Struthio camelus: one gene and its partners. The protein of the gene in region 4 purifies or fractionates together with the protein of the main gene of each other region. This does not show direct contact. Links are inferred from orthologs where the notes say so. Each region holds a gene or a part of one and is shown on either strand. Other genes may lie near its edges. The genes, in order: ERBB2, CTNNA2, FBXW2 and CTNNB1.

Region 1 (7,802 bases), on a different chromosome or scaffold from region 4:
GGGAAACCCATCCCTGAGCAGGGGCCAACGAGGCTCCCCAGCCCCAGGTGGGGACCAGCAGCTCTGCAGGGACCAGAGGGGACACCCAGCCCCGGGCAGGGACCGCTGGGGGGACTGGTAGCCCCATGGGGACACCCAACCTGAGCATCCAACCCCGAAGAGGGACCACCGCCCCCCCCAAGCATCCCGGGGAGCAGGCCGCGCCGCGCTGCCCACCTGTGAGGTGCCTCATGCCGAGCTGGCCGAGGCCCGGGGTGCCGGCGGGGCCGGCGTTGCCCAGCACGGCCAGGGCGTAGCGCTCCTCGAAGAGCTGCGTGCCCCGGATGATGCGCAGGCTCCGCAGCTCCAGGCGGCTCACCCGGTTCTCCGCGATGAGCACGTAGCCCTGCACCTCCTTGATGTCCTGCGCGGGGCGGAGGGGCGGCGCGTGAGGGTCCCCGGCAGTGGCGGGGGGGGGGTCCCGGCCGTGCCACCGCTTCGGGGCGTCCCCGACCCGCTCACCTGGAGGAAGGCGGTGTCGGCGTCGGGGGCCAGGTAGGTGAGCTCCAGGTTGCCCTGCACCACCCGGCAGCCCTGGTAGAGGTGCCGCAGCGTCTCGTAGTGGCTCTCGGGGCTGGAGGGACGCAGCAGCTTCATGTCGGTGCCGGTGCACACTGCGGGGACAGAGCGGGACGTCAGCGCGGCGCTGGCACCGGCGGGAACGCGAGCCGGCAGCGCCGGCCTCCGCAGGAAATGCCGCGGAGGCCACCGCCGCCGCCAGCGATCTCCGGAGCCGCTTCCAACAGCTTCCTATAAGCTTCCGGCACCGCCGCTCCCCCCCCCCCACCACCACCACCGTCCCGCGTGGCCGTCCCCACCCCAGGGACAACAGCACCCCGGGGTGGGGGGGGGGGGACCCAGCACCCCACCGGGGCCGAGCCGGGCTGGGGAACCGGTCCGGGGAGGTGGGAGCGGGGCGGCGGGGGCCAGCCTGGGGCAGGCGTCGGGGAGCCGCGGGGCTCCCCGGGCCGACGTTCCCGCCAACGCCGGGATTCGCCGGGGCCGGGCGGGAGCGGGAAGGCTCTGCCCACGCCGGCCGGGGAGGGGGGAGCGCCGAGACAAGACCCGATTGTTGAGCGGCGGCGGATGCCGGGAGCCCCCGGCCGGCCCCGCCGGCGGCCTCCGGCCCCCTCCCGGAGCGAGCAGGGTGTCCACTCCGGCCGTGGGGCTCGCGGTGGGGACACTGCTTGGGGACACCCCCCCCCCCCAACACACCCCCTCCCCGGGCAAAAACAGCAGCACCGGTTTTGGGGGGGGGGGGGTGGTGAGCTGAGAACTGGCGCCGTCGTGCCACGGGTGCCCGCCCTGGGCCGGGCGGCTGAGTCACGGCCGGCGGGGTGGCACGGGGCCCCCGCGGCCGGCGGCGGCGGCGCGGCTCGCCCCGGCAGGAACCGCCTTTTCAGGTCGGGCATGTTTGGGGAGCGAGCGGCTGACGCAGGGGCGGGCCGGGCCGCCGCCATCCCGCCGCCGGGGGCCTCGGTTTCCCCGTCGAGGCCGCTCGGTGGGGGCCAGGCCGGCGGCCCGGCATGGCATCCGTCTGCTAGGGACAACGGGGGTTGGATGGTGGGGAGGCAGGGGGGGGGGCGGCCCACGGCGCGGCCTGGACGCCGCGGGGAAACCGAGGCAGGGCCGGAGGGCGGCGGAGGCCGAGCGGGGAGGGGAGGCCGGACGAGCGGCCGGCGGCTGAGTGACAGCGGCCCGGTGGCCCGGCAGCTGCCCTGTTGGGGGGGGGGGGGGGGGACGACACGGCCGCCATCTCGTCCCTCCTCCCCGCGCCGCCTGGCAGCGAGCGTCGGGTCCGAAGCTCAAGGTCTGGGGCGGGCGCCGCGCCGGGGGGGGGGGGGGGGGGTGCCAAGGGCCGGCGGGTGCCGTCGACGCCTGCCGGCGAGCGGGTCCCGTCCCCGTCGCCGCCGGCCCCGGTCCGCGTGCCCCGCGGCGTCGAGGGGCGGCCGGCGTTTCCCGCCGGGGTGGCGGGTCTGGCCGTACGGCGCGGGGCGACGTCGGCCCCGGGGCGGCGACGAGAACCCCCCCCCCGGCCTCAACCTCCCCTCGCGCCCCCCGCCCCGGGACCCCCCTCCTTTGGCTGGGGGGGGGGGTGCTCCTTACCCCGTCTCTGCTCCCCTTCACCCCCCCCAACTCTGGGCTCGGCGGGACCCCCCTTGCCCCCCAGCTCTTGGGATCAGCAGGATCCCCCTTGTCCCCCCCAGGCTCGACGGGACCCCCTTGTCCCCCTTTTCGGGCTCAGTGGGACCCCCTTGTCTCCCCCCCCCGGGGCTCGGTGGGACCCCCCTTGTCCCCCAACTCCTGGGATCAGCGGGACCCCCTTGTCCCCCCCCCATCCCGAGCTTGGTGGGATCCCCCCCTTGCCCCCCCCGGGGCTCGACGGGACCCCCTTCCCCCCCCCCCGGGATCAGCGGGACCCCCTTGCCCCCCCCGGGGCTCGACGGGACCCCCTTTGCCCCCCCCCGGGATCAGCGGGACCCCTTTGCCCCCCCCGGGGCTCGACGGGACCCCCTTTGCCCCCCCCTCCCGGGATCAGCGGGACCCCCTTGCCCCCCCCGGGGCTCGACGGGACCCCCTTTGCCCCCCCCCGGGATCAGCGGGACCCCCTTGCCCCCCCCCCAGGCTCGACGGGACCCCCCTTGTCCCCCCCCCGGGACACCCTGCCGCGACACCCCCCCCCCCACCCCGAGCCGCCCCCGATCGCGCCCCGCGCTCAACTTTGCGCCGAGTCCGGCTGCCGCCGGCGGAGGGAGGGGAGGGAGGGGGGGGGGACCCGGCCCCGGCCCGGTGTCCCCGGTGTCCCCGGCGGCCCCGGCAGCGGCGCACCCACCTTCGGCGGCGGCGGCGGGGCAGAGGGCGGCCAGGAGCAGCCCGGTGCCGAGGTAGCAGCCGCCGGCGGCGATCATGGTGCTCAGCGCGGGCCGCGGCCCATGGCCCCCGCGCCGGCCGCTCCGCCAAAGTTTGCGGCGCGGAGCCGCCGCCGCCGCCGCCGCCGCCGCCGCCGCCGCCGCCGCCTCCTCCCGCCGCGCTCCCGGGCTCCGCCTCGCGGGGCCGCGCCGCGCGCTCCCGCCGCCGCCCCCGCGCGCGCTCCCGCCGCCGCTGCCCCGGGCACCGCCGCTGCCACCGCCGGCGTCGCCCCCGGCCCGGGCGCTCCTGGGGGGGCGGGGGGAGAGCGCGGGGGGCACCGCGGGGCGCTGGGGGGGCGGTCGTGGGGCGGGGGGACACGGGGACAGCGCTGGGGTACGGGGACAGTGCTGGGGTACAGGGACAGCGCTGGGGCAGGGGGACAGTGCTGGGGTGTGGGGACACGGGGACAGTGCTGGGGTACGGGGACAGCGCTGGGGCAGGGGGACAGTGCTGGGGCGGGGGGACACGGGGACAGCGCTGGGGTACGGGGACAGTGCTGGGGTGTGGGGACAGTGCTGGGGTGTGGGGACACGGGGACAGCGCTGGGGTACGGGGACAGTGCTGGGGTGTGCGGACACGGGGACAGCGCTGGGGCAGGGGGACAGTGCTGGGGTGTGGGGACACGGGGACAGCGCTGGGGTACGGGGACAGTGCTGGGGTGTGCGGACACGGGGACAGCGCTGGGGCAGGGGGACACGGGGACAGTGCTGGGGTACAGGGACAATGCTGGGGCGGGAGGACAGCGCTGGGGCAGGGGGACACGGGGACAGTGCTGGGGTACGGGGACAGCGCTGGGGCAGGGGGACACGGGGACAGTGCTGGGGTACAGGGACAATGCTGGGGCGGGAGGACAGCGCTGGGGCAGGGGGACACGGGGACAGTGCTGGGGTACGGGGACAGTGCTGGGGTACGGGGACATGGGGACAGCGCTGGGGCAGGGGGACAGTGCTGGGGTGTGGGGACATGGGGGCAGCGCTGGGGCAGGGGGACAGTGCTGGGGTACAGGGACAGCGCTGGGGCAGGGGGACACGGGGACAGCGCTGGGGTATGGGGACAGTGCTGGGGTGTGGGGACACGGGGACAGCGCTGGGGCAGGGGGACACGGGGACAGCGCTGGGGTATGGGGACAGTGCTGGGGTGTGGGGACACGGGGACAGCCCTGGGGCAGGGAGACACGGGGACAGTGCTGGGGTACAGGGACAGTGCTGGGGCAGGAGCACAGTGCTGGGGCGGGGGGACACGGGGACAGTGCTGGGGTACAGGGACAGCGCTGGGGCAGGGGGACAGTGCTGGGGTGTGGGGACACGGGGACAGCGCTGGGGTGTGGGGACAGTGCTGGGGTGTGGGGACATGGGGACAGCGCTGGGGTGGGGGGACAGTGCTGAGGTGTAGGGACATGGGGACAGCGCTGGGGTGGGGGGACAGTGCTGGGGCAGGGGGACACGGGGACAGTGCTGGGGCATGGGGACATTCCTGGGGTGTGGGGACAGTGCTGGGGCGGGGGGACACGGGGACAGTGCTGGGGCAGGGGGACAGTGCTGGGGCGGGGGGACAGTGCTGGGGTGTGGGGACACGGGGACAGTGCTGGAGTATGGGGACAGGCCTGGGGTAGGGGGACAATGCTAGGACATGGGGACACAGGGATAGCCTTGGGGTATGGGGACAGGGGGACAACCCTGGGGCATGGGGACATTCCTGGGGTAGGGGGACAGTGCTGGGCTATGGGGACAGTCCTGGGGCATGGGGACAATCCTAGGATGTGGGGACAGTCCTAGGACGTGGGGACAGTTCTGGGGACAGGGGGACAATCCGAGGCTATGGGGACAGCCCTGGGGTGTGGGGCCAGTCCTAGGGCATGGGGACAGGGGGACAGCCTGGCAGCAGGTGGTGGGTCTCTGCCGAGGTGGCCTGGAGCTGACGCCTGTCCCCAACCCGGGACCGTCTGGGGCACGAGGGGGCGGCGGGAGCCACCAGGCCCTGGGGCCGGCCATGGCGCTGACCCCGGCCCTGTGACCCCCCCCCCCGGCGGAGCGCTATATCCCGTGATCCTCCGCGGCCCCAGTGGGGCGGTATATCCCGTGATCCTCCGCGGCCATCGCGGGGCGCTATAACCCCTGATGCCCCCGGCCGTTGCGGTGGGCGCTATATCCCGTGATCCTCCGCGGCCACAGTGGGGCGCTATATCCCGTGATCCTCCACGGCCATCGGGGGGCGCTATAACCCCTGATGGCCCCAGCCGTTGCGGTGGGCGCTATATCCCGTGATCCTCCGCGGCCACAGTGGGGCGCTATATCCCGTGATCCTCCCCGGCCAACGCGGGGCGCTATATCCCTTATACTCCCCAGCCATTTTGGGGGGGGGCTATATCCCGTGGTGCTCCGCGGCGCCATTGGGGAGGGGGCGCTATATCCCGTGGTGCTCCGCGGCACTACGCCATTTCCGGGGCAGCGGCCGGAAACGGCGGGGCCGGGCGGCCATGGCGGCTCGGGGGGCCGCTCGGGCCGCGCTCCTGCTGCTGCTGGGGGCGGCGGCGGCGCCAGGCCCGGCTCGCGGCTCGCAGGGCGACCGGGAGCCGCTGTACCGGGACTGCCTGGCCAGCTGCGAGCGGCGCAACTGCTCCGGGGCGGCGCTGCGGCACTTCCGCGCCCGCCAGCCGCTCTACATGAGCCTCACAGGTACGGCCGGGCCCGCCCCGCGCACCCATTGGCTGGGCGCGGCGAGGCCACGCCTCCTGCCGAGGTCCCGCCCCTCGGAAGCTCCGCCCCCTCCCTCGCACGGGGCGGGCGAGCGGCCTCGGGGCTGTGGGGCCCCACCGGGCCGTACTAGAGGATCACTGGGCCATACTGGAGGTCGTTGGGCCATACTGGGGGACACTAGGCCATACTAGGGGCATGCTGGGGGTCATTGGGCCATGCTGGAGGTCACTGGGCCGTCCTGGAAGCATGCTGGGGGTCACTGGGCCATGCTGGAGGGCACTGGCCCATGCTGGAGGTCATTAGGCCATCCTGGAAGCATGCTGGGGGTCACTGGGCCATACTGGGGGGACACTGGGGGACAGTGGGCCATGCTGAGGGACACTAGGCCATACTGGGGGCATGCTGGGGGTCACTGGGCCATACTGGGGGGACACTAGGGGACACTGGGCCATCCTGGAGGCATACTGGGGGTCACTGGGCCATGCTGGAGGGCACTGGACCATCCTGGAAGCATGCTGGGGCTCACTGGGCCATGCTGGGGGGACACTGGGCCATGCTGAGGGACACTAGGCCATACTGGGGGCATGCTGGGGCTCACTGGGCCATGCTGGGGGGACACTGGGCCATGCTGAGGGACACTAGGCCATACTGGGGGCATGCTGGGGGTCACTGGGCCATACTGGGGGGACACTAGGCCATGCTGAGGGACACTGGGCCATCCTGGAAGCATGCTGAGGGTCACTGGGCCGTGCTGGGGGGCACTGGGCCGTGCTGGAGGTCATTGGGCCATCCTGGCACCATGCTGGGGAACACTGGGCCATGCTGGGGGGATACTGGGGGACGCTGGGCCGTGCCGAGGTTTGCTGGGCCATACTAGGGGCATGCTGGGCGTCACTGGGCCTTACTGGGGCCATGCTAGGGGGTGCTCTGCCATGCTGGGGCTGTGCTGGGGACTGCAGGGCAGTGCTGAACCATTGTGGAAAGACATTGAGTGCTACTGGTGGGTGCAGCACCATGCTGGGGTGCACTGGGCTATACTGAGGAGGCACTGGGGTATGCTGGGGGGCACTGGGCTGTGCTGGGCTTTGCTGGGGGGCACTGGAGCATACTGGGGAAGACTGGAGCCTGGACATTGCCCCTGCCTGTGCCCAAGACAGTGGGGATCTCCCCAACTGGGCAGGGCAACCCCCAGTGGGCTTCTCCTTGCCTCGAGCTGGGCCCCAGAGCCCCCAGCTGCGGTGGTGGTCAGGCTGCGCTGCCTAACGGTCACACCGGTGTCTGCACTGGGATTGACTGGAGGGGGCTCTGTGACTGGGGACGGGGTACCCGGGAAGGGCTGAGCCCCCGAGGGACCCTTCCCCGTCCTCGGAGGCCTGTGCTGGCCGCCAGCTCCTCTCCCGCCGCTGCAGGCTGGACCTGCCGAGACGACTGCAAGTACGAGTGCATGTGGCTCACGGTGCAGGTCTACGTCCAGGGCGGCTACAAAGTGCCTCAGTTCCACGGCAAGGTGAGCCGGGCCGGCGCCCAGCGCCGTGCGCGCATGCGGGAAACGTGCCCCCGAGGCCCGGGGCCGCCCCGCGCACCAGGCTGTCCTCCCCCATCCCGTGCCTTCAGCCGCTGCACCACCCAGGGGCTCCCTCTTCCCGCGGCGCCAGGCGTGCTCGAGACGCCTCGGGGCCGCTCCAGCATCAGGGCCTGAGTCCCATGGGGGGGGCCCCCCGCGATGGGGGTGCTGATCCCCAGCCAGAGCCCGGCTCCCACGTCTGCGAGGCCTGTGCCAGCAGCTGCTGAGAGCCGTGGCCAGCGGAATAGTGCGATCCACACCGCTAACGTCTCTGTCGTCCGTCTCCCTCCTCTTTTTTGTTCTAGTGGCCCTTCTCTCGCTTCCTGTTCTTCCAGGAGCCCGCGTCTGCCTTCGCCTCCTTCCTCAATGGCCTCGCCAGCTTTGTGATGCTGCACCGCTACAAAGCCTCCGTCCCGCCTTCCTCGCCCATGTACCACACGTGCATCACCTTCGCCTGGGTGAGCCGCATGGCACCTTCCCTGCTGCCGCAGGCGCCTGTGCTGTGACGCTTTGCCCGGGGAGGGCAGGACAGTGGCAAGAAGCCATTCCCTGCTTCCTCCCTGCTGCCTTCAGGGGTCCCCTCTTAGCCCACG
Region 2 (7,113 bases), on a different chromosome or scaffold from region 4:
GCTATAAACAGAATAATCTTAAATAAACACAAAGTTATAAAGCTACAAACAAGAAATGCACACCAGCCTACAGAAAAATGAACTCTTGTGGAAAGGAATAGTCCTGAAAAGATTTGTCACAATGAGCATGATCACTGAAAATGAAATCAAAATGTGCTGCTGTGACAGAAGGGTTAATATGTAAATGTAATATATAAACAGAAGAGTTACACTAGAGGTAATTTTTAAATTCACAAAACACTGATGAGACAAGATATTGGAATACTGCATCCAGTTCATATTTCTACAAAAATGTTGAAAACGTGGAAGTGGATTTGGAAAAAAAGCCACAACAATGAAATTGTGAGGAAAACACCCCAGTGACAAATTTAAAGGATCTAAGTCCGTTTGTGTTTTTATTAAGACAAAGAGAAAGATTACTAGGTTACAGCAGATAATTGCATCCAGGGTAAAAGAATACTCCGAGTTCTTTAGCAGAGTGGAGAAAGACAGCAATAACCAGTAACTGGACGCTGAGGCCAAATAATTTTATAAATAGTAGATTCTCCACCCAATCAAAATTCCATTTTTTTCTGGAAAATATGTTTCAGCCAAATACAAGTTATTGCATTTAAAAGTAACTGGACAAAATCCAGTAGACTATAATGGTCAAAAAGTCACAGTAGAAGAAGAGCTGATTATTTCCTTTGGCTTTAAAGTCTCAGTCTGTGAACGCTCTTGGTTTTCAAAGGCATTTCAGTAGTACCATACACATTCAGTTTTAATATTAAAAAAGAGCTTTCAACAGTATACATAAATTAGGGTTGTATTTCCATATAAGGGCTCAAGTAACACTGACAAGCCTCTGGAGCTTTCCTGTTGAGGCTTTTGTCATCAACAAAACCCATCAATGGAATTACAAATATCTTATACGCAGTTGAAGCAGTATTATTTCTATAGTAGTCCCTAAACAATGATTTCATAATTAACTGTAAAAGTTCATCCTTCAGGTCAGCACTTTCACTCTTCTAGAGAGAATTCTGTTTAAACTGGAATATAAAAAACCTGATACAACATATAGTATTAATCATAAAAATTGTACGTAAAAAAAGAAAAACAGAAGCATTTAAATAGCCACAAAGCCTCTAAGAGCTGTTGTTCTCATTAGCAACCTCATTTAAGTCTGCTCTTATTTACGTTACGTATCTACCATCCACTCCAAAACACACAGTTTTTCCTGTAATCTTGACAAGTTGATAGAAGCAACATTTCTTAGGAAGCACATGCCAAGATAGTGCATAACGTGCAGGGTTTTATATTATTCAGACCAAGAGAGTTTTGCTACAGTATTGGCTGCTATATTACCTATAAATTTAGAAAATAGCAGGGGTTTTGAAACACATTTCTCCTGACAAAGTACAAATAAACTTCTCCTAGTTCAGTAAACGCAAGCTTGAAAAGGATGAAATTGTCTGAAGCTGTAAATGTTCTGCTACTACATAGCTGATGAAGAGGAGAAGGGGGGGGGGGGGGGGAACCCAGCATCCACACAGAGCTTTTTAAGTGCTGAACAGCACCTTAAAAACAGACATCACATACAACCAGCAAGACAGGAGTGAATGCATTCACCCCTTCGACATACTGAGGAGCAGGTGCGTGTTACATATTCCTGATGCTACATATCACCGTAAACGTGTAAAAGTTACTTTCAAGTACCCTTTAGAGATTGGTAGTCCCCAGATCATATCCAGCGCTACACTTCACGCAACACAAACTCCCAAACAGGCGAAGCAGCTGAAGTCTTGCGATAGGTAAAGCACAAACGCTCTTCCCACCACCACCATGTTTAAGCAAAACTTCTTCCACCCCAAAAGCCAGCTCTGCGGCCAGGCACGAGACACCCGCGGTCGCCTTTTAGCCAAACCTTCACGAATCTTTCCGATATTTCCTGCGCGCTCCCCATAAACATAAAGCTGTATTTTAGACCCCACGAACTTTAATTCGCCACCGCCAGAGCAAACCCCTTTGACAGGACCCGGGACCTTTCGGGCTGGACTCCGGACCCAAATATTAAGCGGGTGGTTTGAAGCGTCTCGGAAATTGGAAGAGGCCTAAAGAGAAGGGCTGTAAAAAGCTGCTTTCCCCGAGCCCTCAGCACCCCCTGCCCACACGCACCGCCTCTCCTCGACCCCCTTCCCAGCGGCTCCGCGCAGGGACGACCGGAGCGGCGGCTCTGAATTACGGAGGCACACAGCGGATGGATAAAGAGCGAGAAAGAAACCTCCGGTGCCTGAAGAAAGGAGAATAAAAAGAGCCAGACTAGGAAAACAGCACGGAGCTGCCTTTCGCCTCGAAGCCATGCGAGGTAAAAAAAATGGATAAGCGAAGCAACACCCCTCTGACCCTGCCTTTTCTCTCCCTAAATATAATCCCCCTCTTCCCATCATACGCACACCACAACATGACCATTAATTCAAATCCATTCTTTGAAGAAGGGGGATTATCTCTGTCTGTGACCGACTCTCCCTCTTCCGCCGGACGAAAATTAAAATTGCGGTTAAAAGGAAAAAAAAAAAAAAAAAGACAGAGAGAGAGAGAGAAAGAGCGGATGATTATGATTTCTGGTGGGTGGGAAACGTGGGCAGGGGGGAGAAGGAGTCTGGGGGATGGGGAGGAGGGGAGAAAAGGTGGCTAAGGAGAGAAGAAAGGAAAGGAGGACCAGGAAGCGCGAGGAAGGATGAGGGGAAGGCGAGATAAAGGCGGGGGAAGGAGGATAAGGGACGGAGGATGAAAGGAAGGAGCTCGGCGAGGCGGGAGGGGGAAAGGGGCGAGCGGGAGGGGAGGATGAGGGGAAGAAAGGAGGATGCTTTGCCCTGGCCTCACCTCAGCACGGTGGGTGGGGGTGGCAGAATCGCCGCCGCCGCCGCCGCCTCCTCGGCAGCGACCGTTACAGACGGGCTGGGCGCGAGGCGCGGCGCGGCTCCCTCACACAGCGCCCGGCCCCCGCCGCCGGCCCGAGCCGCGCTCGCTCGCTCGGCTCTGAGGGGACCCGGGAGCTGCCGCGGCGGCTGCCAGGCTCCCAGCGGCAGCCACTAGGGGAGGAGGCAGCGCGCCTGCGCCGCCGCCGCCGCTGTTGCCGCCGCCGGGCGGGCGGGCGCGGGGAGCTGCCCGCTGAGGGGGTGGCGGGGCGTGGGGGGGGGGAGGCCTTTACCGCCGGCGCTGTGCGCAGGTGCCGTGAGTACGGAGACGGCGTTAGCCGGCGGAGGCCGGGGTGCGGTGCGAGGCGAGGTGAGGGGCGGCGGGGCTGGCGCCAGGCCGCGTAGGGGGGAGCCGAGGGGTGAGCAGCGGCCGGCCGAGCCCTCCGGGGCGGGCTGGAGAGGAGCCCAGGGCAGAGGGAGCCCGGCCCGGGTCATGGCCTGGCCCCAGGGACACCGCAGGGTAAGTAGCGCGGCCGCGCAGCGGCGTGTCCATCTTGCGTCGGCGGCGAGGCAGGGCGGAGGGGCGCGGGGCTGCTCTTGGGGGTTTTGGGGACGGTGCGAGGAGCTGGGAGCGGAGCCACGTGGGGTTTAGCTCGAGGATTTCTTGAAATCCCTGCTCCCCCCCTTCCCGCACGCTGAGAAAAGGTAACCGCTCTAGCGTTAACGACAGCAGGGCGCGAGAGCGTTGGTCCTCCGCTTCTCTTCAGCTGTAGAAACTTCGGTCGCTTGTGACAGCCCCAAACGCGTGCAGCCCCAAATGCCGTGCACCGAACACCAGGTTTTGTCCTGGCGGTCAAGGCTCAGTATGTTTTCATTCCTCCCTTTCCTCAGCGGCCTTACTGCGCTTACCAAGCTCAAGCTGTTTGTCGCTGCCCTCGATGGCATCGCCGCCTTCTGCCGTTCCTCAGGTACGGTGCGTGCTCCAAAACCGCCCCGCCGTCGGTCCCTGGGGCTGCCGAGTCCTGTTGGCTGCGTCCTGTTGGAGGGACTGGGCCGTTTTGAGGTGGTGTGAACTCTCCTTACGCGCTGTCGCTCCACGAATCCGCTGCTCTTGGAGCCATCTGCTTCTCCTACTTAGGCATGAGCTCATGGGCAGCGAGGAAGGGAGGGGGTATGAGGCCGTCCAGGTTTTTCCTTGCCTGTTTTAGGTTTGGATGGGATTTACCAAAATAATTCCTCTCCCGCTGCCTGTAGGGAATGATGTTACCAGTACAGGAATATCTGTCGGGCCTCACGAAGAGGCAGCAGCTGCCAGTTTTTTCTTCTCTCGCCCTCAGCTGGAGAGAGATGCTGTCAGGGTCTACCTTCGCTTTTTTACGATGATTAAATGAGGATGGGAGCTGTCTTGGAACCCCAATTCCCTCCACCAAGGCACAACAACAGAGTCCTTGGAAGAGTCCACAGCAGGGAAAATGATTTCTTAGGCAGGAACTCATTTTAAATGTGAATCACAACATGAGATGCATCATGGCTTATACTTCATATGGTCATATAACACATGTAAGTAGTTGCAGTCAGTAGTTTACAGAAGTACTTTGAATTATTTAAGCCTTCTGACAGTATCATTTAAAACAGAAACACAATCTATTGTGCATGCAAATGATGTGACAAAGAGTATGCATACACAGAGACCATGCTAGGCTGACCTACCCTTTAGGATGATATGCAAATTATTGCTGCAAGCTGTGCATTTAGTTTGTGTCTTTAGTAGGCTTGCAAGTTGCATCAAATTACTTTTCTAGGTACTGTTTCATCTTTGCCATGCTAGTGAATCGAGCCATGTGATATTAGCAAAACTTTACTTACTGACCTTCTTCTAGCCTTCATTCCTGTAGCCTTGTCTTTCAGATTGCTACTTCTTCTAGGTAGGGACAGTGCCTTACTTTATGCTGTGAAGAGCTAGCATATTTTGAATATAAATAGCAACAAGCAAAGTTGCCCACATAGAATATAGTAAACTACTCCTTTATCACAATGCATTACATCAGTAATTGCAATGGGAACTAAGTGTTTCTCCAGGCATTTAATTGACATGAACTTGCTGTAGAGAACATATAAGAACTACAAATCATAAATAACACCTAATTATGAAAAGTGATATAACCTCTCCTCTCCCCACGAAATAAGATGCATACATCTCTTGCAAATTTGAACCAAAGGACGCATTAAAAAATCTAGGCATATTTCTGTTTAAAGTGTATCATTGTGTGAGAAACAAATCAGGTTATTTACCTGGTCCAGATTATTTTTATCTAAGACAGAGATGTGGATTGCTGGCCTGTTGCTAAGAGGTCTGCCTGAATGTGATAAAGAAGTCTGAAAATCTGGAAGAGCTGTACAAACTTTTCCCCCTCCCCAAGGCCCTGAAAGAGAGCTCTGTCCACTATTTAGACATTTACTTCTTCCTTTAGGATATTAACTGTCGGAAACTACCGTTATTATTTCTTTTATCACTTGTAATGGTCTCAAAGAAAAGGAAAAAAAACTGATTTTGTTACCACTATTCACCTAAAAACTGAGATATGCTGCTAAGCTGCTCTATAAATGAATGTGGCTCTTACCAGCCAAGGGAGGCCAACTGAGAACTCCTAACGCTTCCAACTGCCATGGGATCTCCCAGCGACAGCATTCAGCAACATATAGAGAAGAGACATCACCAAAGCATTAGGACTGTTGGGCAGGTTGATCAGGAAGACACACAGAAAGACCATTCGACGTAAATGAAACATGCATGGATTTTCTTTGCACGTGTGTGCTTTTTTTAAATGCTATGCCAAACTGTGGAACTGTCTGCCAGAATATAGAACCCAAATATTTTCTATATACAGAGAAAATAAGACTATTTAGAACAAGAGCTATAAATAAATACAAACAAGGCATGCTTTATACTTAGTGAACCTGGCCCCTGTTGGCAGTTTAACCCTCCTTTATGAAAGATTGTCATGCAGATTGTCATGCAGATTGACTTCTGCAATATGTAGTTACTCAAAAGAGTAACTAGTCAGATACAAGATGCATTCAATTTAGCTTTACTGAGAGTGTATCTGATTGAACGAGAAGGGAGGTGTGCAGAATTAGGAGGAAAACACCCACTTGAAGACCCATAAATACGCATAATCACGCACCAGTCATAGGTGTGCAGCTATCTGGCTTGATCAAAAGGCCCTTTGGAGAGTCAGGGTTCTTGCAGCAGGTGGCATCCCACAGCCTTAACTCCACCACATGCTTGATGAACCTGCAGCTGAGCTTTTATGGCTTCTGGACTGCTAGACCAGTAGCCATAAAACCTGTAGAAGCTTCTGGGCTGCCAGACTGGGCTCTCCCTAGGGTGGCCACACTTACACAGCCCAGCTGGACCCAGCTGATCTCTTTCAGGCTGGAGGTTGCACTTCAAGAGTTGTGCCTTCAAACCCTTTTATTCAATACTGCCTCCACCCCCACAGTTGGCCTGATCTGACTTACCTTCCTCTTCATACTGAGGAGCTACAAAACATCCCTCCCTCAGCCTGTATGGCAGGAATGTGAGTCTGCCCCATATAAGCAACAGAATAATAAACTAACTAGGGATTGGCAAGGATGGCATGCAAGCACTTCATTTCTCTTTCATAGATTAGAGGTAAGGTGTATCAGTAGAAATGTAGTAGAAGCTCAAACACACTTTTTCTGAAAAAGGCAAGGTGCAGTCAATTGCTGGCTTGGGGATATATTGCATCTCCACAGAGCAGTCCAGGAGTCTCAGCTGCTTGTGTGTTGCCTTTTGATGAGGCCTTCACTCAGGACTCTATCATGTGCCATTCAGAACCTGCCCAGCAGCATTTTTGGCACCTGTGCTGTTGGTGGATGACCTCTGAAGTTGAGAGAGATGCTGAGAACAGAGAAATAAAAGTGGAACACATTCTTAAATTTCTTTTATATATATAAGGTACGTTATAAGCATATGCTTATATATTTCTTAATTTGGCTCCAGCTGTACCTGCTAAGCAGTCACCACTAAAATTCTCACTTACATTTAGAAGTCCTTATCTACATGAATGGCCATTAGGCAAATTAATAGGATCGTTGTTGAAAGGCATTAATATAGGACCTAGATCTGTAATGGTGATATGATCAACCAGGGAGATAGATGTACAGGAGGAAACACAGTGCCTTATGAGCT
Region 3 (8,048 bases), on a different chromosome or scaffold from region 4:
GGTTTCCTTTCTCCTCCTAAGTTTCACTTTTTTTTAATGCATAACCATAACTCAAAGCCTGCTTGCTTTGTAGAGCAGAATAAACCCTAGACTCTTTCACATGTTTTTCTCTACAACATGTGGTTTCAGCATAAAAGAGGGAGCTGTTTTTCAGTAAGGTTTGACAATGCCACCTCCTGAGTATTTTTCACTCCCTGCTGACTACTAGGGAAGCAAAAGACTTGTTGGAGACTAGTTCCTAGTTTCTCACAATCTTCTTAATGTACCCACAAATGTGGGAGTACTACTCAGTACTCCCAGCTTATTCTATAGCACTGTTGTCTCAAGTGCCATAGTTAGGAATTCCTTGGAATATGCTCTGGCAACAGTTCACTGTAACTTTGTCACTATTCTTTCTTACTTAAGGTTTCATATTTGGTCTGGCTGTATTCCTAAAGTCAAACTGTAATCTAGGAGTCTGCAGTTTTTAGGAAGGAAGTTGAAATCATTCTTACAATGTGTAATTCAGATGAGTAGCAAGGCTAGATCTAGTTCACAAGTCTTCATACATGCTTTTACATTATATTAAGAATTGAAAGAGTTTACAGATCATACCACAGAAATTGTCATGCTGGGAAGAAGACAACAGAATTTTCCTGCCATGTTTCGGAGGCTGCAGTGATCAGATAGTCCAAACAAGGTCCCTTTAATCTGAAGAAGGTATCCTCTAAGAGGATAGCTAACATATCTGTACTTCTCAAATGGGCTTACTGTTCTGAAGAATTATATGCAGCACTGTTGGCCTTTTTATTGATTTAAAAAAAAAAAAAGAAAAAAAAAAGAAAGAAATAAGTCTCTTTGGTCTTTCTATTGAAGTGACCAGTTAGCTTTTTAGTGTGCCAGGTGTTTCAGAAATTGCAAAAATAGTAATTTTGAAAACCTTAATCACCAGCACTGTGAAAATAACTTGCCTGGTTAAGGAAACTCAAATTGTCACTAATCTCATGGGGAAAAAAGACAAAAGAAGAATTGTAAGACTCCAAGTTTTCTGAACTTCGTACCTGTACACAGAAGTCCATCTTTATAGTAAAGTGCATATACTCTGGCACTGTGTCCAATTAAAGAGGATGTCTCAAAGGCTTCGTGGTCCTTCAGTTGCTTCATCCTTAAAATAGCCTTTAGGTAAACCTTCTTCCAATGTAGAGGGTCCTGAACAGAGTCGTCTATTTGCCAACCTAAATTCTTACATGCAGTCTGCCACACCTCTGTACAGGCACTTATAACCTTATTCCACTGCTTAGAGACGAGGCAACATGTGAGTAAGGTCTGAGGATCGAGCCATTTTAATAGGTAAAAACTAAGTTCCAGCGGAAGAAGTTTGAGGAAGTCCCTCTTGAGAAGAATCTCTAGATTATTGGAGAGGTGCCTGAGCTGGACTGCTCCACTCAAGCTAATCAGGTGATCCAGAGTTTCATTTTTCTGCAAGTCCGTCAGAGAAAGAAATGTAATAGAAATGTTATCAAGCCATGCTTCAAAGTCCTTTTTCTCCATAAGGTTATGGAAAAATTTACCTGTGATACATCAAAATACTGTATTAGTTCTGTTCAGAAAACAAGATAAGCATCACATCTTTATTGCTGGTACATCAATATTCCAAACTGCATGTTAACACATGGACTGAAATGACCAAACACATCTTAAAATATTCAGTAGGTTAGTACTAAGCATTTGCAAATACTTTGAACTATTAGATGTCCCACATCAGACTTAGATATGAGTTGTATGGAGCCAGTACATGTTAGCATTCACTATGGATGTTAACATCCTTCTTGTTCTAGGTTAACACTTTCAAATTCTGAATTCAATAAGGTCAGGGTTGGTTCAAGTTTTAAACTTATGGCAAATAAACATTGTCTTACAGTTTACCCACGGATAACATTGATATGGAAGGAAACAAATCATACAGATAGGGTGATGAGAGGCTACTTACTAACAGAACTTACTCCATGCATTTGCCCTATACAAAGTAGGTAACTGTGCGGTTTTAAAAAAAGATACAAAGAGATTTCTCAGGAATTGGGATGAAGTTATGTGTTAGCCAACTATTTGGCTATTGTAAATTGCACTGGTATAATATCAGTTTTGACACTTCTTTTTTAATTGTTTCCTATCTTCTAGGTTTATTTCCAGTGAACAGAATTAACTATGAAATTGCGGGTTTAAAAACTACCTCTTTAACTATGTGCATTTATACTACATCGGGGCATCTCTAGTTCCTGCAGTAAGTTTGAATAAACGATTAACAAGATAAATATTGGGCAAACAGTTAAAAAGCCATAATTAATTATTTTCTCTGGAAGAGCTAATTCCATCCATTAGACAACTGGCTGAATTCAGTATACAGCTCCCAAATCCAAAGAATTGAAGAATCTGAGTGGGAGTCAATAACATGTTTATTTTTATACAGGCATTTTATCTTCATCGAATAAGACTTTAAAATACACCTCTTAAAAATATGGAGTCATAGTACAGGGAAGCACAGTCCTCACTGTGAAAGGCTGCCTGTGGTATGCGGAGAAACAGCAGCTGTTGCTAAAAACAAGAAGGTACTGGGTGTAAAGTGCATATAGACAGCTATTCCTATCAAGGCGTGAGTTCACACAGTAACTTTAACGGACGGCTCTTACCGGCTTTCCCCAGCACGCATGACAAAGGATACTTTCGCTATTCTAACAGGCATGTATTCTCTTAGGACCAAACAAACCTCTAACCGTTTCCCTACTGATAAGAATTAAATGAGATCTAGGGCGTTTGTTGTACGCGATGCGCGGAGCGAATGCGGAAAGCAACGGCCGGAACCGACGCTCCGCGCTGCCCGCGCGGGTGCCCCGCCGCCGCCATCCGCCTCCGCACGCAGAAAGCGCGGGGGGCTGCCGGCGCCGCTCGGCCCAGTCCCGCGGGCTCACCTCAGGTGGCGGCCGGGCGCGGGGCGTCCCTCGGCAGGCGGCTCGCGCGGCTCCCCGCGGCCCGGCAGGGGCCCGGGCGCCCCCGGGGCCATCGCTCCCGCAGCAGAAGGATGGGCTCCGGCCACTTCCGCGGCCCTCACCGCGGCCCTGCGGCCGCCCTCGGGCGGGCGGGGCGGGGCGAGGCGAGGCTCGCGCCGCGGCCGGGCCCCGCTGAACCGGCCGGCACCGCAGGGAAGGCGCTGCCAGCACCCGCGGCTCTCCGCGCCCGCAGCTTCCGGCGCTCGCCTCTGGCGTCATCGCTCCCAGCTGCCACGCGCGGGCCGCTTCCGTCCGGCTGGAGGCTGGCCGCGCCGCGCCGCGCCGCCTCTGCCCGCCGCGCCCGGGCCGGGCCCCTCGGCCGCGCCGCCCCGCAGCAGGGGCGCCCGCGCTGACGTGCTTCCTGCGGGCGGGACATGGCGGCGGAGGAGTCCCGGTGGCTGCTCGGCCGCCCCGTGCCGGGCGCGTACCCGAGGTGAGCGCGGGCGCCGCCGCCCGCCGCTCGGGCGGACTCGGGGGCGGCGCGGGATGCGCAGGGGCTCGGCGGCCGCCAGGCCGCTGAGGCGAGCCCTGGGCCGGGCCCTCTGCTAAGCCTGCCTGGGCGCTGCCGCCCCCGCGGCTCGGCGGCGGCCTCCCGCGCCGCTGGGGCCGGCGGGCGCCGGCTTGCGCGGGGCTCGGGCCCCCGGGGGGCGGGGGCGTCGCGCGGGGGCGCCGGGGCTGGACGCGGGGCGGCGCGATCCTTCTCGGCCTCTCCCGCCTCAGAGTGCAGAACAAGAAGCTGTATCTCGCCACCTTCGCTGCTGTCTTGGGACCTCTTAGCTTTGGCTTCGTGCTAGGCTATAGCTCACCTGTTATTCCAGAGCTGAGTAAAGCCGACGATCCTAGACTAAGACTGGACGGTAATCAAGCGTCGTGGTTTGGGGTAAGTCTCTGTAGGATTCTTCACCGTTAAGTGACTTCAGTTGAAGGTGTAGGTCCAGAAGATGTTGTTTATATGGCAGGGTCTTACTTTCCTTTAGGAGGATGATAAATGCAAACGTTACTAATGAAGCCTAGACTTTTTTTTTTAATTTTTTTCTCCCTAAACTCAGTGGTTGGTTCAAATCTTTTCTGGATAGCAATGATATTATTCTTTGGTGACTCTCAGCATGTACTAAAAGATGGCCCTATTCACTGAACTCCTTTTTGGTGCTAAAATGTCTTCTCACAATTCTCAGCTTTCTCAGTTGTAGCTGTTAAGGGACCACAGAGGATAAACTTTTTCATAAATTAGGTGCCATCCATCAACATAGGGAATACCTGCTTTTTGGATGCAGGCTGAACTTCAGGTTAGTTAAGACTGTAACTTCTCCAGGGCTTTAAAACATTTTGAAGAGCTAGTTGAACAGATGGCATTTTAGATGGATAAAAAGAAATACTGAATTTTTTCTTCTTCAATGAAAGGTCTTTGTATTTAATCTAAAAATTATGTGCTGCTCATTTGTGGTGAGGAGTAATTCTGGACTATGTTTTGATAAAGAAGTTAATGTTAACTGTTTTTTTTTTTAAACACCTCTATGTACTTGCATATTTTGTTTAGAAGCTGCTATTTAATTTCTAAAATATTTCAAGAAATTGGAGTCTGATATACAAACACACACATACATATAATATGTTTGTTTGTTTTTTAAACTTATCTTCTGAAGTCTGTAGTAACATTAGGAGCTGCTGCTGGAGGAATACTGGGAGGCTATCTTGTGGATAAAGTTGGGAGAAAACTGAGTCTAATGCTGTGCTCGATACCATATGTTTCTGGATATATAGTTATTATTTCTGCTCAGAATATTTGGATGCTTTATTTTGGAAGAATATTGACCGGCTTGGCCAGTGGAATTACTTCACTTGTTGTTCCGGTGAGTAAGGCATCTTTTCTGCTTAGCATATTTTCTGTGTGTTTTGGGGAGGATGCTGGGTTGGAGTGGGTTTTTTTTTTTTTTGTCATTTCTTAGCGGCTTGGATGAAATAACTGAGCAACTGTAACCAATGCAATTTGTGGATTTAGAAGAAGCTGATTTAAAAAAAAAATCTCATGTTGTTTTATTCATATTTTTATTAAAAACAAGCAAAATAAGTTTTGTCTCTTCTAGTGGCATTTGCCGCTAGATGCATTCCAGTATGCATTCATAATACAGTGATGTGATCTTTCATTTTTTTAATCCTTTTTTCCTTATCTGAGTGTTTCTGTTTTGTTATTGTCTAGTAATTCATTTTTCTCTCCAAATGCCTCATATATATACGCACGCCCACGCGCAGGCATGCACGCGCACACATGCCCACGCGCACGCATACACACACACACACACACACACACACGCATACACACGTAGCATTAGAATTTTGGGAGGGTTTTTTGCTATCACCATCTGCTTCTAGTAGTCTGAAGATATCTTGTATTTCACCAGACTTCTTAGGTTTGCCAAATAAATTATGGCCGCTGTCTCATTCTAGCGCAATGCCAAGCAGTGAATTCTGATTCAGCTCTTGCCTTCTGAACATTAACTTCTCCCTTGCATTCAGAAATATTTGTACAGTAGGGAAACGGAAAGAATTCATGCCCTTTTGTTATCTTCCTTCTCTGGTATTATTTGACATGTGTATCTAACTGAATAGGTGGCAGTATGAAATAAACCACCTAACATTTGCATTTGTTTCCTTTCTGGTGGGTCCAGCATTTCCAGCTCTTGAAGTGATATGCCTACTAAAAATCAAAGGATAAACTCCTAACGCACTGTTGAATAAATGCTAATTCTTTATCATTTAGGACCTCCTCCCTCAAATCTTTTTTTAGTTTTATTTTTATAAATATTTAGATTGGTAATCCTGTGTAGCTTACTTATTGTTGAAAATATGCTTTCTTAGTCTGGTGCATTAGTGTCTTTGGAAGAGTTCCATCTGCTTTCTCTTTGTTTTCACTTATGTAAAGGATTTAACCTGCAGCCAACAGGAAAAAATTTATGACTACAGTGATGAGGGAGGGGAGTGTGATGTCTTAACACCCTGTGATTTTAGTTTGAAATAATTTTTGAACTAAGAGTTGCTTGTTTTCCATCTGAAAAAAAGTAAGAGCTGTAACTTTGTGAAGAACTGTATGCCTAGATAGGAGGGATTTCTCTTTCATGTATTCAGCTAAGCTGTAACTGTGGACTTGAGATCAATGTAAAAAAATAGCTGAGCAGTTTAAGTTATCTCAAATATCGGATGAGATGTGATGTTATTTGTGTAATGTGTAGTTGGACAAGAGCTGATAATTTGGGCCTTCATGGAAGATGAAATAATTTGTGCTCTTTATGTTGAATTAAAATTTTCAAACTTTTATTTGCAAAGAATTTTATCTGTGGCTCAGGTTATGTGTCTATGCAAAGACTGCTCCAAACACCAGGCCACTTTGTGAGGATGTGTTTCTTGTTGATTATGGCCAACAAAGTAAGTCCTTAAGATTGCAAGATTGTTTTCATTTCTGAGATGCTGATACTGCAGTTTACCAAACATCATCAGCATTCTTGTGTTTCAGGGCTTCCCTTCTTTCCAGGGTTTTTCATTATGGAGATATGAATTTCTGAGATGGTACTTCTCTACTTACTCCATTTTATTGAGACTTTTTTTGAGGGGAAGAGTTACTGGAAAATACACCCATATTTTCCAGAAATGAATTACTCTTCAAATCCTTGCTCTAAAATTGGATAGGAATAATTATTAGGTATTTTCTCCCTGTGTTTTAGGTGTATATTTCTGAAGTATCTCATCCTAAAGTTCGTGGTATGCTTGGCTCTTGTGTTCAACTGATGGTGGTGACTGGCATACTGGGAGCCTACATTGCAGGTATTGGGGTTAGGGCTCTAGATTGCAGTGAAGAATTAGTACTTGTAATAAAAGAACTACACTAAGGAATTGAAAGTATATGTTAATTTGTCTGTACAGTGGATGTTTATAGTCCTCTTTGTTTCCTTTTTGTTGTCCAGGAATAACACTAAAATGGCGCTGGCTGGCAGTGTTGTGTTCTTTCCCATCCTGCATAATGCTTTTGTTCATGTCCTTCATGCCTGAAACACCAAGATTTCTGCTGAATCAGAACAAACGTTCAGAAGCCATAGCTTCTTTACGGTTTCTTCGGGGACCACATGTGGATCATGAATGGGAATGTAGGCAGATTGAAGCTAATGTTGAGGAGGAGGTGATGAGAATCTGATATACAGTAAAAACTTTGTGTATGGAGACAGTATATGAAAGTGTAGTGTAATTAAGAGTTTTACCATAGCTTAGTTTGATGGCCTTTTCTACAAATGGTTGTCCAAACGCATTCCCTCAGCCAAATTCTTACTTACGAAGCAAATAAGATTGGAAGAATCCTTACCTCTCAGCTGTAACTACTATCGCCATTGACTGCCATAGATGTGCACGAGTAGCAGTCAGGCTCATGATCTTGTTCTTAATTTTCTGTGATAGCTATCTAGTTTTTCCACTTTATTTAACAATTTTATAGACTGTTCAACACCCAACCCTAATTTCCTAGTTTTTTTTCTGTTGTACAAACATGTCCTCTTGCATCTCTGTAATAGCATAATTTAGTCCCTTGTAATGAGATGTTAAAATTTAACAGCCTCCTTAAACAGGCATGTCTAGTCTGTAAGCCATGAATTCATTCATGTTAGCTTTCTCTACAAAGGTTTATTTTAATAATGGCAGATAAGAAGGTGCCAGAGAAGTTGAAGAAATCTAATTTCACGTTCATGGACTTTTAAATTCACCACTTTGTTTTCAAAGGATACGTCCATATACTCTGCCAGTACTGTGGCTCAATTACTGTCTCTAGAACTTGACAAAAAGAGAAAAAAATGATTTTATGGAGTCCTCGGATAGTTCAAATGTAAACTATGTTACTACCGAGGCATTTAGGAGGGGGGCATTTAGGCTAAAGATGAACTTACTGGTTTTGAACAGGCTGAAATCTTCTGAGGAAGTTCTTTGTTCTTTAAAGGACTGAATTTTTCATTGAATTACTGTTTAATCTTTTTAACAGGGATTGAGTTT
Region 4 (7,967 bases):
ACAAAGTCACAGAACAAGTTTTGCTGCAACCAACTGCACAATCATCACAACCCCTGTGTTACCAGCTTTAACTTTGAATTAGCATGAATGATTTTGATTACTGCTGTATTTGCACACTAGTCTAGATACTAGACCATATTTTGCAAAAACAACTTCATGCACGAGTTTTACATTGCACATTCAGACTTCAGTTTACAATGCTAAAGCTTACAATAGCTGCCTCTCCTGTCTCACTCTTGCTGCCTGTCCTCTCCACACCTCAAAATACCCCCAAATTAGTTTAGAAGATCAGCAGTATTACTCATTTTTATCTCTTTTCATCAGAAATTATTTTCTGAAGGGTTAGATATGAGCTTTCGGGAATGCTAAGTCATGAAAGACTAATGGATACATTTTACAAAGAAAACCTTCCATTTGAAAGGCAACTAAGTTTCAGGGCTAAGATTTGATAAACCATTTACTGACACATTATGTAGCCATAGCACAAATAGCAAACTACATATCAAGCAAGAAGGACAACGTATTTGTTACTCAGGCAAGAAAAAAAAAATTGTTTACTGAGGATGTAACAACATTGAACGTTAAGAACTAGCTGACTTTTGGATTAAGCCTTACCCTGAATTAAACCCTTGCTTTTACAATCTATTTTATACTATCCTTTTGTTTGGCATGTTTTTACACTTCTCCCTGATACCCTAGGAAGCAGCCACAGACCAACACGAACACTCCCAAGCATATCAGTTTACACCTAAATACAAGTTATCTGAACTTATAGCCAAGCAAAGAGGACAGTTCTGTAGAATGACCCCTAAAATAGCAAGACATTTAATATGATTCTGTATACAATAGCTGAATTTAGAGACTCAAAGCCTTGTCTGAACATCTAAGTAGCCTTATTTTCAACAGTACCAGCGATCGTGCAACTGACAGTCAGATGATACCTACAGCTGTCAGCACCTTTTAATAAAAAAGGTGAAAGCGCAAGATTAACATTAGGTTCCTGGAGTGGTCAGTTACTTGAAATTCACATTATTACCTGGCTCAGTGGACACCAGTGAATTTGCCTTTTGTGCTGTTTTAAAGATTCGCAGTAACAGCTTTGCCAATCAAGAGCAAAGTCATAACTGATAAAGTTGCTCTCCAGTGTGCTTGAACTTAGGATCAAGAACATCCTGCTCTCTTTCAGGTAAGTTTCTACTCTATGCCTTTACTATATTCTCAGCACAAAGATCCTGTTTTACTAAAACCCCTCCTTGATTTCCTTCCATCGACCTCAGCATACCAGCCCAGCCTCTTTCCATTCACCACTTGCATACTTTGGGGGATGGGAGGACCACAGATGTCTGGAATATACAGAGTGTCAGAACAATGGCTGCTCCATGAGAAAGAGATCAAGAAAAAGTAGCTGATTGCAAAGATTAACATTGCTATTCACAGTCACAAATTGCTGATATTGCCTCCATAGCCTGTGTTTTCTTCCCAAAACTGTACCAAGAACACCTCTTCCCAGAAGCAATCGATTCAAAAAGAAACTGCAAGAGGTCTTATACCAAGTTTTAGTTAGATCAGAGTTTAAGATTTTGCTAGATTTTTAAGAAATCAAACTGCCCCAAGAGGAACCCATCATGCACAAAAGACAGCTCAACTAAGCCGCTGGGGAAAAATACATCTGAAGCTCCTTGTTCCATAGAGTCAGAAATAAGTTTCCATCAACAGTAAGAGCAAGTTGCTTCACACAGCTCAGAACTGCTTTGGTTTGGGTCGCTGGAGGGCCTTCCCCCCCCCCCCCCCCCGGTCGGCCACGAAGAGTAGGCGCTTCCCCCTTCAACAGGGGAGCCCCTACATCGCTTAAGTCATCCTCTGCAAGACTCTGGTAATGTGGGTGTTAAAAACTTAATTTGATTGCTCCTAGCTTCAGGGAGCTTCATTTCGAAGACATCCAGAAGGAGCACAACCTCTCCAACAAACACGCATGCAACTACGACAGAAAACCTACAAGTCAACAGATTAGTTATCTACCTCTGACTGCAGTGACCGTGGTTAGTTAATTATACAAGGTACAGATAAATCCGTCCCCTGCTCTCTTCCCCCTCCTCTCCCCGGTCACTGCTGTGGTCTGGAGCCCACTGGCGAGTCAGCATTCCCTCCTTCCCCTCCCCTCAAAAAAAGAGGAAGAAAAAAAAGGAGAAAAAATCGGTACGAAACTACTCCGGCCTCGACCGCAAACCCAGCGGGGAGCACAGACGCACACAGACCCGCATCGCAGAGTCTCGCCCCCTCCCACAGACCCCTTCAACTACCCCCTCGGCCCAGGACGAGCTTCCCAAGAGACACCTCGGGAAGCTGCAGCTGCCGCCTCCTGCGGCCACGCAGCTGTCCGGACCTCCCAAAACAAGAGCCCTCTCCTCCTTTCCTGTCCTCCTTCCCTCGCTCCCCAACCCCCCACCTCCCGCGGCCACCCGCCTCTCTCCCACCCAAGCAGCGCCCCCCACCCCCAGCCCCGCGCCCTTCCCGCCTCAGCGCCCGGCACACCCCGGACCCCCCAACGGCCACCGGACGCGGCGCCCGCCCCGGCGGCCATCGGGGGGGGGGGGGGGGGAAAGGAGGAGGGTGGCCGGCAGGGGCTCACCCCAAGTTCCCGCCGCAGAAAGTGGCACTAACGTTGTCGCAGGGGGGCGAGAGCGCAGGGTCCCCCCGGGCTCCGGCTGCTGCTGCCCGGGCGATCCCGGTCCCGTCCGTCTTTCCTTCCTTTTTCTCTTCCCCGCCCCCCCCCCGCCCTTCCTCCTCGCTCGACTCTTTGCTGGCGGCGGCAGCACCCCCGCCGCTGCCTCCCGGGTAGCAGCCGTGCGGGGCGGCGGCGGTGTTAGTCCCCCTTCGCCCAAGCGCCGCTGCTGCTCCCACCGCCGTTACCGAGCGAGAGGCTTAAAATGGCGTCGCTCACAAGGAGGTTCTTATAGTGAGCGCCGGGCTCGGCTGTATCCTGCCGCCGCGGCCGGGCCCAGCGCGCAGCATTCCACAGGCGCCCAGCGCACAGAGCAGGGGGGAGGAGAAATAGTGCCCGGCTCCCAGGGCGGAGGGAGACAGAGAGCAGTAGCGGAGGGAAGCGGCCGCGAGCAGGGGGGGAGGCGGCGGCGGCAGCAGCGGCGGCGGCGGCGGCGGCGGCGGCGCGGCGGGGCGGGGGGAGGCAGGGTGGCTGCGGCGGGGCCGGGGCCAGAGGGTCGGGCGGGGGGCAGCGTACCCCGGCGGCGGTGGGGGAAGAAAGGAGCGAGCTTAAGGCTGCGAGCGAAGTTGCTGCCTGAAGGCGGGGGAGAGGCAGCGGCGGCGGCGAGCGGTGGTGGTGGAGGAGCTGAGGGGATTAGCCTGGGGGTCCCCTTCCCTCAGGGCAAAACAGTGCGAATTTTTTGGGACGAGGCATGCGCGGGGGGTGGGGTGGGGGGTGCGAGAGCCCGCTTCCACTTGGCCTCTGGGAGTGGGTTTTATTTATTCACTGATTTATTTAAATTTCGGGGGGTGCGCACGCCGCCAACTAGAGGGGAAACTCTGCGGTTTTCCCCAAGGCTCGTCGCCGACTGCGGAGGACTCGCGGGCCGCGTTAACGCCTTAAAACCGGCCTCTCGCTCGGCTCCGGCCGCCGGCGCAGCTGCTGCCCGCCCCGGGCCGCGCGGCCGCTGCGGCCGTTGGGGCCGTTGCGGCCGCTGGGGCGAGCCCGGGGACAGGGGCGGCGGGGCCCGCTCACGTCGGCGGAAACGCGCTCCGCTCTGCCCTTATAAATATTTGTCAGGAAGCAGTTGCCAAAGAAAGTATCTCGTTATGCAATTTATTTATTTTCTATGGAAGAAGCAGGTTTTCCTTCCCTTCCCTCTCCCCCCCCCCACCGGTCCTCCGCCCACCCCTCGTCTCTTCAGTGAGTGGTAAAAACAGGAAAATATTATGAATTGCACAAGGTTTTTCGCGGCGTGCGGAGCCTTGTGAAGGCACGTATGTGGCTGCCTCTTCCTCGGCGTCCGCGGGCTTGCGCAGCAAAACGTTTTACAGACTTCTTGCCTGTGCCGTCTTGCACAGGCAAAGCCTGTTTAACATACCCCCGAAAGTGCACCGCTGCATGAAACAAGGAGTGTATATACCAACGTGTTTATATAAAACATGAAAGATGTTTTATAGTGAAAGATGGATTATTTTTTCCCCTCTCAGTATAGATTTGCTTTGGCACTAGGGGATGGTGGGGATTGAATACTTGGTCTCGTGCTGGAGGGCTTCACGCAGCCTCTCCTTCCCCACCATCCTCTAGCTGCTGTGGCTCTTGCGCTGGGGAGATGCATGGTTCACAGAGAGGCCGCCTGTGTGCTTGCTTTTCCAAAGATAATACTCTTTTAAATAGGCTCAGAAAGTTACACTTTTAAAAGTTTTTTTCCCCCTATTTGTTGATTTATTTAGTAATGTAATGTGTAGTAGTCTTAGGCTAAAGGACTTCTTTGACAGTGCTACCTGATTTTCACATCAACTGCTTTATTGCACCAGCACTTTTTGAACATGGGATTTCTCCCTGCTCAAAAAGTAAAATAAAATAAAGGTGTAGGGCTTGCTGCACACAAAATACCCTGGTCCACTGCAGCACCTGGGAGAGTTTTGGGGTACCTGCCTGCCTGGCCTGGCATGGGGCAACCACATGAGGCTGTGGCCCAGTGGGACTGATGCAGGGGTCCCAGAGCCAGAGGAGCTGTCACTAGTGAAGCAGTGCGGTTTAAGCACTGGGAAGGCAGCAGTGCTTAAAAAAAGCCACACACGCAAAAACAAACCAACTCCCCCCCCCAAAAACTAAAAATACCCCAAACTCCTTGGTTGCTCTCCACTCTTCTCTGCCTTTGCAGGACATGCAGCAATCTACCACCCACCAGCCTCCTGGTGCACTGGGCGACCTCACGCCCTCACTAGGATGAAGTACGTCTGGGATACACTTGAAGTTAGAGGGTCAAGGAATACAGCTTTCCTTGTCATACCATTTCCTGTTAGGACGGTTGCCCACGTTGGCTACACTGGCTGAAAGGAGGGCAAGAAGGAGGAGAACTGTGCAGCCAGAGTAGGCAAAGCAAATGCTGCCGGATCAGGGCCTGCAGGCGGCAAACGCTGATCAGCTTCCAGGGGAATTGCAGGGTGTGTTTGCATGGCGCAGGAGCGTGCTGCTGTGAGCGGCAGACCTTGCCATCCTTGACACAAAAACTTTGATTCTGCTTTTACGAATCTGAGAAAGCGTGCTTGGAGATTGGTTTGGTGCATTTAAAAAAAAAAAAAAAAGATGTGGGGGGAAGAGCTACGTTCTTTGTGCACCTCCCTTTCTCAGCTGCTTTCCTGTACAACCTTGGGAAAATCATGTCTGCCTTGGTTTCACCCTCTGTAAAATGGGGATAATAATAATGACAGACCTCTCCTCTTAGATCCCTGGATCAAAGGTGCTATATAAGTTCAAAGTGCTGTTTCTATAGGGTATTATTGCCAAATTCACCATCAGCAATTCCATTGGGTACTTGATAACAACAGTAGAATCAGTCAAACGCCCTTGATGCGTTGCATGGTCCCAGATACCTTTCAGAGCCTCTTTGTGTGCCATCCCACCCCCTGAGGTCTGCAAGGATGGGGCTTTTGGAGCCTGGATTTTGCAGAAGCAGGAGGGGTACAGCCTGTGTCTTTGCTTCTGGCCCCTGAAGTATGGACTGCTTTTTTTCACCTGATGAGGACTGCTGGAACTAGCCCATTTACAAACAGGTTTAAAACATACAACTTTTTTTTTTTATATATATTTATATGAATTTCATAAGGCCTTTAGCACATAATGGTAGGCTCTTGTTGATTTTGAGTTGTTTTACTCTTGCGTGGTTTGTTGTAATTTTAAACTATATTTGTTTCATTGCAGAGTGGTTAGGATGCTTTTGGATCTAGACATGATGCTAATAGAAATTAGGTTCATTTTAGCTTTGCAATTTTTAGCTATTAGGTACCTAATCATTTTCTAAAGTATCACCTTTTTAAAAAGACTACCCTAGGAAAGCTAAATACCTTAATAGCTGGAAATGTTGCAATTAGGATGAACTCTGACTTATAATACTATTATTTCAATTACAAAATGTTTCTAAAATACATTTCATGTTTCTAAATTTTCTAAAATACACTGTGAAATGGTCCAGTGTCAAAGCGAGAAGAGTGAATGTTATATTGGATATTACAGTGCAGGGCTTCCATGAATGAATTCACAAAAATCCAGTTATTTTTCTTCTTCTACTTTTCTTTTTTTTTCCCCCAAGAAGCATCCACTCTGTATATGCCGCTTCAGAAGTTTCTTTGGAGCTCTTTTATGCTTTAATAGGTTTGTTTTGGTGACTATTTGCTAGATGACTATGCCGCAGACATATTTTTTTCAAAAGGTCAAGCAGTATTCTAACATGTCCATTGTGTATCACTGCAGTAAGAAATCCTCAGTGCAAAGGAGAGCTTCATGGTTAAATTTTAAAAGATAATGATTTAAATCTTTTTGTTAGCCTCATTTTAACATCCTTAGCACTGCTTTTGCAGAGACAACTTTTAACACCGTAGAAAGCAGGAAGCCCATTAATTAAAAATAACAAACAGCTAAAGGTAAACTTGGTTGGTCACCTTTCCTTCTGAAATTATGGCATGTAGCTGTGTTTTTAGGGAACATAGTAACAAACGAGTAGCAATGGCACTAATATAAGGACAAAGCAAAATCACCAATTACGGAAACATCTAAGGCTCTGGGCCTGAATCTTTGATTTCCCATATGGATCTTAAAAACATATGCATAATTGGCTTCTAACTGTGCATAATCTGGGAACATATTTGAGAATCAATTACACATTTTTAAAGACACTGACTAAATAAATATTCACTTGTCCGCAGCAAACCAAATCATTCTGATCCTCTCAAAAAAAAATCTTCTTCCAGCACAGAAAAGTTGTAATGTATTTAATAAGTCATGTATTTGCACTTTTATACAGGAATGAAGGGTGAAATAAAGGAGATGGTAGCAGTATTTAAGCATTCTTTGAGATACAAGACTAATCAATGTAACTTCTGCTGCATGCTTAAGAACTACAGTTTATTAATACAAGTCAGAAACTTTGCTATGTTGAAGCACATAGCTATGCCACTCAGGCTCAATTTTAGTAAAATACGTGTTCTTTAGGGACAAAGAGGGAGAGAATTTGCCAGATTCCAAAACACTGGTGAGATTTGATTTTTCTCAAAAAATTATGGAATAAAATTATGCTAGTGTGTAGCTTGCAGTCATTTTGAGTGAAAGTGAGACAGTAACAATTATTAATAAATTAGTATAGAAGATACTGATCAAAACATCTTGTTAACTGGTGGGAATGAGATAAATTGGAGTACTCTGCCAATGTTGTTCCAAATGTCAGAATTAAAATTGTAATTGGCCAAAAGTCTGATTAAAAACAAAATTATTCTTTTATTTGCTGTTTCAGTTTTGAATATATGCAATATATTGCATATATTGCAGTGTTTCTCTCTTTTATTCAGTACATGTGAATGCCTGTAGCAGTTTAACTTTATATACCAGGTATGTTTCAGAAACTGAAAAGTTTCCAGCTGATTTAGCAGCTGAGGCATTACTCATCAGAATATCTGATTGCTGGCAGATTAAGCAGCAGACACAGTGGGACAGCATCAAGATGAAGCACTGCATCTACCAAATACATATATTTTAATTGTTACTAACTAAATGAATAAGTATCTGGATGGCTTATATGTAACATTTGTTGCATGAGGAAGAGAAACAGAAATCCACAATATTGTTCCTTTTTCAAATTTTGTCATTATCAGGTATTACACAGCACCTAAGTTTTCATTTAAAATCTCTCTATGTGCCAGTCTCTTAATGATTATGGGTTTTGTATTCCTAATTTAAAGCAATTGCAATCATTGTGTTCAGCCAGCCT

The links.
Region 1: the proteins of CTNNB1 (region 4) and ERBB2 purify together in Homo sapiens (affinity purification with western blotting; 3 studies listed by BioGRID). This does not show direct contact. The link is inferred for Struthio camelus from reciprocal best matches to the Homo sapiens genes CTNNB1 and ERBB2.
Region 2: the proteins of CTNNB1 (region 4) and CTNNA2 purify together in Homo sapiens (co-immunoprecipitation; 5 studies listed by BioGRID and IntAct, with this or other methods). This does not show direct contact. The link is inferred for Struthio camelus from reciprocal best matches to the Homo sapiens genes CTNNB1 and CTNNA2.
Region 3: the proteins of CTNNB1 (region 4) and FBXW2 purify together in Homo sapiens (affinity purification with western blotting; 4 studies listed by BioGRID). This does not show direct contact. The link is inferred for Struthio camelus from reciprocal best matches to the Homo sapiens genes CTNNB1 and FBXW2.

What each region holds. Positions count from the first base shown.
Region 1 is NC_090966.1:6,625,998-6,633,799, reverse strand, and holds the start of ERBB2 (receptor tyrosine-protein kinase erbB-2), read right to left. Parts: upstream 3,085-7,802; 5' UTR 2,949-3,084; coding exon 2,873-2,948; intron 654-2,872; coding exon 502-653; intron 404-501; coding exon 217-403; intron 1-216. Other genes in the region: PGAP3 (post-GPI attachment to proteins factor 3), read left to right, coding at 5,176-5,624, 7,035-7,152, 7,515-7,667. UniProt on the Homo sapiens protein: Protein tyrosine kinase that is part of several cell surface receptor complexes, but that apparently needs a coreceptor for ligand binding. Essential component of a neuregulin-receptor complex, although neuregulins do not interact with it alone.
Region 2 is NC_090945.1:83,119,090-83,126,202, forward strand, and holds the start of CTNNA2 (catenin alpha-2), read right to left. Parts: upstream 3,031-7,113; 5' UTR 2,863-3,030; intron 2,464-2,862; exon of another isoform or gene 2,449-2,463; coding exon of another isoform or gene 2,433-2,448; intron 2,264-2,432; exon of another isoform or gene 2,155-2,263; intron 1-2,154. UniProt on the Homo sapiens protein: May function as a linker between cadherin adhesion receptors and the cytoskeleton to regulate cell-cell adhesion and differentiation in the nervous system. Required for proper regulation of cortical neuronal migration and neurite growth.
Region 3 is NC_090961.1:188,502-196,549, reverse strand, and holds the start of FBXW2 (F-box/WD repeat-containing protein 2), read right to left. Parts: upstream 3,063-8,048; 5' UTR 2,946-3,062; intron 1,644-2,945; exon of another isoform or gene 1,551-1,643; 5' UTR 1,531-1,550; coding exon 1,041-1,530; intron 1-1,040. Other genes in the region: SLC2A8 (solute carrier family 2, facilitated glucose transporter member 8), read left to right, coding at 3,398-3,456, 3,744-3,903, 4,667-4,873, 6,740-6,839, 6,980-7,191, 8,038-8,048. UniProt on the Homo sapiens protein: Substrate-recognition component of the SCF (SKP1-CUL1-F-box protein)-type E3 ubiquitin ligase complex.
Region 4 is NC_090943.1:51,348,259-51,356,225, reverse strand, and holds the start of CTNNB1 (catenin beta-1), read right to left. Parts: upstream 3,026-7,967; 5' UTR 2,630-3,025; intron 1-2,629. UniProt on the Homo sapiens protein: Key downstream component of the canonical Wnt signaling pathway.